2 linked regions of the Drosophila melanogaster genome follow. The protein of the gene in region 1 interacts with the protein of each later gene in a pairwise test. Each region holds a gene or a part of one and is shown in the gene's direction. Other genes may lie near its edges.

The links.
Region 2: the proteins of CAP (region 1) and RnpS1 interact in a two-hybrid assay, tested with the Drosophila melanogaster proteins (one large-scale study listed by BioGRID).

What each region holds. Positions count from the first base shown.
Region 1 is NT_033778.4:10,276,986-10,280,740, forward strand, and holds the start of CAP (CAP), read left to right. Parts: upstream 1-1,750; 5' UTR 1,751-2,355; coding exon 2,356-3,755.
Region 2 is NT_033777.3:9,550,305-9,554,059, forward strand, and holds RnpS1 (RNA-binding protein S1), read left to right. Parts: upstream 1-1,729; 5' UTR 1,730-1,878; coding exon 1,879-1,880; intron 1,881-1,956; coding exon 1,957-2,118; intron 2,119-2,386; coding exon 2,387-3,347; 3' UTR 3,348-3,443; downstream 3,444-3,755. Other genes in the region: CG9386 (uncharacterized protein), read right to left, coding at 3,459-3,755.

The sequences.
Region 1 (3,755 bases):
TTCCCAAGCGAGAAATGAATCACAGATCTTCTGCCAAGCGCATTTGTCGAATCAAATCTTCATGAAAGGCTTCTTTTGATGACCCCTCTATCCATCTTTAGATATCACAGTTCAATCTTTAGTAATTTCCCAAGAAGTTATCTTGCTAGCTGCATTTGATTCCACAAAAACCACTTTCATTGAAAGCAAAACTTTTCGCACACAACTCACGTTCTTTATCAAAAATGCAAAATTTATCAGCGATAGCCCAGAAAAGATAACTAAAATGTGTGCTGTTCTACAGCAAATTGGGCGAGGCGTAGAAATCAATTTCAAATTTGTTGATATTACGGGGCAAGAAAACTGAAAATAGAAGCCGCTACAATGGATCCACAGATATAGATAGCGGCTACTTGGATGTTCGTCGTACGTCAGTGATTCAGGCAACTTGGTGGGGCCCAAACGAAATCCAAACGGAAACCGAAACCAATTGAGAATACACATTAAGTGAGTGGGTTTCTGAGGAGGGGAAAGCGATCGTTTAGTATTCCCTAATTGGTATACCCGTGTCTGTCACACTGTGCAGAAATTGCATAATGCCCGGGCCAAAACCACCACATCACGTGTCTGGTTCGTCTGGCACCTGACAGACCCGCGAAGATACTTCAGTTCGGATTGGTTCTGGTCGGAGGAAGTTAATGGAGATGATGGGGCTGTGGGCCAGACAGAACAAGAGAAATTGAAAGCCATTAAGTACCTTTAAAAATAAAAGCGGAATACTACTAACCGCATGGCCCACTGGGATGATACATGGGAGAGCTATACATACATATATGCGCGTGGATATATGTTGCTTCAATTATTCAAGAGTACACCGAAAACAGAGACTTGTGACCACAAAAAGCAAAGAAATTACGCACGAAAAATATCTTTAAAATGCCATAAGTTGTATATAGATACACAGCCAGCGCAGACTCATCAGATACACAAGCACACACATCGGCCAGAAGATACATATAAGCAAACTCGAACTGTGGCAAACTATTTCCGTATTGAGTTCTCTTCTTAATGCCCTGCATTGAGCCATTTTGGGTATATTGCACGAAAGTTTTTTAGATCAACCACTTAAAAAATTAAACAATTTAAGTGGTTGGAAAACGGTTTATCTGATTTCATTTGACCTCTAAATTCTTTATTTTCTCTTAATGTCTTACATCTTTCATTCCTGAGCATTTATCAACCGAAATTCAAGACAAAAATGTGTTTGTGACATTTAAAAAAATTTATTTTCGAAAGCATATATTCGTTAGCTTAAATTCCACAAACAAATTATGTACGTGTTCCAAAAACATTTTCTAATATTTATGAATGTGCCGAATATATTTTCGAGCCGTGCGTTTCTTTTCTGCTCATCTCGGATTTTATGAGTTTGTTTGGCTTGTGAAAATTGCATTGACCTAGAAGTCATATTGTTGTTTTTTTTTTCGGTCTCTTTGGTATTTTGATGTCTTTGGAATACCCTGCATTCTGATTCTGATTCTGTTTTGGTTTTGCACATTTCTCTCCCGCTCTCCCGTACGACTTTCTGTTTTCTACGTACATGTATGTATTGTGAACATGAGCATCGTTATGAATTCCCCGATTTTCCTTTTTGTGTGTATATTTTCAAATACTTGCCACTGTGCATCCGAATCGGGCTGTCTGTAAAAATGTGTGTGAGTGGGAGACTGGGGAGCTAGCTCCCGGCTGAGATCGTGGAAAGCCCACGGCCCATTCCTTGTCCGTCGGTCGCCAGCGCCACGAGGAACGGGAAGCGCGATCTTAAAAAATATTTAAAAAACTTTTCACCCCGTGTCCCCGTTGCTCAAATCGAACATACCCCCAAAACGAGAGCGAAAGTTTAGTATTCAAAACGCAATTTAATTTGGCGAAAAAATATCGAGGCAATCGGAGACAAAGGCGCGATCTCGGCGGCGAAAAATAAACCTAAAAACATAACGATTTCGGACGCGTGCCAGGCGGTGGGCGGTGGGCGGGGCGGCGTAGACGCCGGCAGCGGCAGCGACGTCGCTGTTTTATTTTTTTATTTTCTTTTTTTTTTCGATTTTGCCGGCTGTCGTCGCGAGCAGAATGCCGCCGGCTCTCGGTTCTGGTTCTCAGTTCAGTTCTGTTTGAGTTTCTGGCGACGAGTGACACACACAGAGGGAACTAGAAATAAACGACACCGAAAAACGAAACAACACTTAGTTGTACTGTAGATTCTGGCTGATTAAGAAACACGAAACACGAAGTACTCACTTACACACAAAAACACATATATATCTCACACACAAGGAAAACTGCATTAGTTCAGATCGAGCGAAAGTGCCGTAGACGATGCCCAATAACCGCAATCGTAATCGCAATCGCAATCGCAACAAACGCAATCGAAACCAAAATCAAAATCAGAATCCGAGCCAAAACCAAAACGAAAACCATCAGCAGCAGGCAGAAGGGGCGGAGGATCGGGAGGAGCAGCAGGATTTCCAAACTCAGATCGCAGTAGCGCAATCTTCTTCCTTCGTAGATGATAATGGAAATTCTGGCAGCGTTTCAAATGGGCCAACGGAAAACAGCGAAGAGGTGACGAACACTCTTGAGAAAACCGAAAAAAAAGAAGAAATATTCGAGCAACCAGCAACAGTCATCCAAAAAGAAGCAGATTCAGACGCAGAAATGGGTGCCAAAAACTCAAAACATCGCAAGGAAAAGTCCGATAAGCAGGCGTCTAATGGAAAATCTGAAGAGCAGGTGCGTCCACCTCCCACCATTATAAGAAGGCCACCCGGTAGCCCCCGGCAAGCCAAGGTCATAGTTCATCGAATTGTGAGGGAAGAGGACACGGCCAATGGCAAAGCTCAATCTCCAGAGCCACCCAAAGCCGTGGAATCTAAGGAGCAGCACATGGAGGTCGAGGATTCAAAGAAGGAGAAACCTGAAGCTCAGCAGGAGATTGAAACTAAGGAAGAACGGGAAAATGAACCGAGTCCAAAGGAACTTCCTGAATCTAGTCATCTTTCGGAGGACGCACAGCAGAAACATGTCGAAGTTGAAGAGAATCAACAAGTTTATGATGAAGTGGACTACTCAAAGGATGAGACCACTGACAATAATCCACAGCAAGAGCAACACGATTCAAAGGAACCGGAGCAATATGTGTTGCAACTCGAAAAGGCAATGGAATTTGTGGAAAATGCACATCAGCAACACGTTGCTGCCGTGCAAAGTTATCAAAAACAGAGAGACACTGAGCAAAATGCACAGCAGCAGGAGCAAAATGAAGCACAGCACCTACAGGAATCAACTAAAGCGCATCAGCAAAATATTGCAGTTCCACAAATCCTTGTAGATCCGAAGAAGAGAGAAGAGGGCCTCGCACAGCAACTGCATCATGATGTGAAAGAGGAACCCATTTTGAATAACGCCCAACAGCAAAATGATGACACTGCACCGAAATCCCCAAAGGAAGTAACAATAAAAGTTCAGTTTCAAACAGAAGATCCTTATTCCCAGCAGCCTCCTCCACAGAAGCCCACCTCCAAGGTGATTATCCACCAGATACACGTGGAAACCACCGACGAAGAGCAAAATGCCAAGCCCACTTTCGAGGAGGTTAGCAGCACTACCGGTTCTCTGGCCGGAACCCTATCTCCACCACCTCGTTATTTGGTGGAGTCGCCGAAGAACGTGTCAAGTGGCCAGTTTTCGAACTTCTCGCGCAATGTGCAAATCCAGGA
Region 2 (3,755 bases), on another chromosome or scaffold:
AATTATATAGTGATATATTCTTAGCATAAGAAGTTCTTTTTCTTTTCATAACATAAATTTCGATGCTTTTAAAATGGAAGCACTAAGATTTTGGAAGCACCCTCTTCGTATAACGACTGTGTCACGGCATAAAACCCCTCTTTGATCAGGGTATTTGTGGTAAATATTATTATAAAGATAAGATAAGTGCATTTCTAAACATAGATTATAAGACTTAATGCAGCGATAACATATACTTATGTATGTATGTATGTATATAAAGAGCGACCTCTTCGGTGCTCTCCTTCAACATTGTAAATAGACTACATTTCCGTAATTTAACTATTATTTTGACCACAAATGTGTGTGCGCGTTCTTCTATGCATACTTGGGCAGGGTCGGTGTTCGAGTTGGGGTCACACTACGCCCTCTCAAAATTAAAACAATAAATTATAAAAAATATACGCATATACACACAAGGAAGCAGGCATCAAAATATTCGCTTTTTCCATGGAGTCCGGACCCCAACACACATACACACTCACACCGATGCACAAAGAAACCGAGAGAGGGAGAGCAGAGAGCGGCACTGAGAGCACGTGAGAGGACCCACCTACTGTGCATACATGTGTCTGTTGGCAGCTCCTATTGTTGTTGCTATTGCGTAGTCATGACAGTCAACTTCATCGAATGCTCTTTTTCGCTTTTCTTAGTTTCGTTTTCTTTACACACATTGATTATATGAATATATGGATATGTATACCAACGAAACTCTTGTTGGCTAGCTGGTTTTTGGCAATTACGCTGCGCTGTGGCGTTTCAAAACACGATGATGGGGCTAAAAAAATGTGCCTTTGAGGTATAGACACTGGTTAATTTGCATTGACTGCTGCCACAACATAACTGCACTTTGCACTCACACACACACTAAGATATGTTTTTCAACGCAAAGCATTCGGGGCGGGGTTTTAATATTGCTATTGAGCTACAGGCAGAGTAATCCGAAATATTAAGAATAATAATACTACACACCAGACGCGGAGCTCCCGACTCGACGGCAGACAAAGACGCAGTGTGGTAAAATGTGCCCAGACCAGACGGGGCGCTCCTCTCTCTCACACTCTCTTTCTCTCTCTCGTTTCCGCTGCGAGTGTAGATATATGGATGGAAAATCGAAACTCTGTGGCTGTGGCCAGCCCCCGCGGCCCCCTTTTGCTATCTCGCTTGCTCGCATGGACAAAATCAACACAAGTTCACACACATACAGGCACACGGATGTGAACTCACAATGACAACCACTTCGTCACCAGCAGATAAAAAAGTGCTGGCCTTAAATCAATTGCGTTTTATGTAATTCCACTACATTCGTACGTTACGAAAACAAGCACTATTCATATTACACGGTATACATTATTACTTCCTATCGAGTCCAAATTGCTAGGCAGGAAAGGTCTTAAATTTTTACGCTTTATGGGAGTTTACCTTGGGTTCGACCTGACAAAGAGTGTGGCCGCGGCGAGACTGTGAGAAATTACCAAGTGGTGTCTGTTATCTTAATCCCAAATACTCTAGAAACATTTGTATACTAGAATTTGAGATTTAAGCATATTATAAAAGAAATTTATTTATATTTAACTAAAAATGCTTCTTAATATTCGCAAAACAGTTTTTTAATAGCAAAGTAAAGGAACTGGATTTTATTTTAATAAGTGTGTATTCTATTTTTTTGTCATATTTACACGTTCACAAACACGGCCACACTAATCTCCACTGAAAACGCTACTCGCATTTAACTCTAGTTGAGAAAAACAAGATTTATTAATAAAAACATTTTAGCTTGCACCTAAAAGAGTGTGCGGTACTATAAAACTAATCGTTTAACAAATCGGCAATACGAAAATGTAAGTATCTGCACCACATTTTGCTCCCTAAATGGTCTAAAACAGCTCGCTTTTCTCGACAAATAAAAAAAAACAGGGCGCGTGCCCAGAGTCTCGCCGGCGAGGGTGAGAAGGAAAAGGACAACAAGGAGAAGGTCGCCAAAGAGAAGGACGGCAAGGCGACCAGCGGCTCCTCGCGCAGGGACCGCGAACGCAAACGCCGCGGATCGGCGTCCTCCAGCAGCGACTCCAGAAGCAGGTAAATCAGCCGGCAAAGGTCTTTCCCACAAATGGCTGCCATCTGCCAACCGGAATAAGGGTTACTTTTAAAAGGAAGTCCTTCTTCTTCTGTAAAACGTAGCAGATAGTACGGGAAGAAAATAGCCTTCGAGCGAAAAGATTTTGTAAAAATTCACATACCATATATGGTAAAATTTCATCACAGTTAGGAAGTGTTTTACTTTGTACCAGCTTCATTGCCGTTTTCTTGGTTACGAGAAGTAAATAAAACACTTCACTTTTTCCAGCACATCGGACAGCAGCTCTTCGCGGAGCAGTTCCGGGTCATCGCGTTCCAGCTCAAGCAGCTCCAGCGACTCCTCGAGCTCCTCATCATCGTCGTCCAGCGATTCGGATCGCAGCGAGAAGAACCGAAGACGTGGCGGCGGCGCTGCTGGCAAAGACAAAGACAAGGATAAGCCCAGCGCCCGATCACGTTCCCGCTCTCGCACCCGTTCCCCCAGGCGTGTCTCCAAATCTCCAAGACCGGGCAGCAAGGCGCGAAAAGAGCCGGAGCGAGATCGCGATCGTCGTAGTCGGTCGAGGGATCGTGCCCGCCGTGCTGGATCCAACGATAGGGCAGCCGCCGATAGCAATAATGTTAAGCGGGAGCGTTCTCGCTCAGCCAGTCGTTCACGATCGCCACGCCGTCGTGGTCGCGGCTCCGTTGAGAGGACGCCGCCACCGAAGCGAAGGGAGCGCTCCCGTTCGCGGACTCGCTCGCCTTCGCCCAAACAGGTGCGCATTCATGTCGGTCGGCTTACCCGCAACGTTACCAAGGACCATGTGTTCGAGATATTTAGCAGCTTTGGGGATGTGAAGAATGTGGAGTTTCCCGTAGATCGTTTTCATCCTAACTTCGGACGCGGCGTGGCGTTTGTGGAATATGCCACACCCGAGGATTGTGAGTCGGCCATGAAGCATATGGATGGCGGGCAGATAGATGGCCAGGAGATTACGGTATCCCCGGTTGTCTTAGTAAAACAGAGGCCGCCCATGCGTCGTCCTTCGCCACCGATGCGCCGTCCGCAAAACAACCGCTGGCGATCCCCACCCCAGTTCAATAGGTTCAACAATCGTGGAGGAGGTGGTGGCGGCGGCGGCGGACGTCGTCAGTCACCCATGAGGAACCGGCGTTCACCACGGCGTCGCTCCCGCTCCCCCATTCGTCGTCGACGCCGCAGCAATAGCAGTGACAGCTCTCGTTAGAGGACACTGATCGACTCCTAGTTTCTACAATTGACACGATTATTGCACTTTTCTTTATATTATAATCCAAATAATAAAGGTGAGCAAATACCACACACATAGAGAGTTAGCTTAGTGTATAAACGAGCACTCAGCATCATCGAGAGGACATCCCAGCGGATGATGAAGCTTGAAAAAGCAGCTACGTTTCTTGATGGTCAAATGGGATTTGGGGAGAGTAGCCGTTGGTTTAGGGGTTCTTATTCCTATGAGATCACCACCGCAGAATTCGAAAACTTCGTGTTTATTGCGCAGCAATGTTTTGATGCCGCCGCACTCGGATTTAATGCCACTCAGCTCCTCCTTGGTGAGAGCCTGGGCAATCTCTCTCATGGGCAGACGACCAGACCATTTATCTTCGTTAGAGTC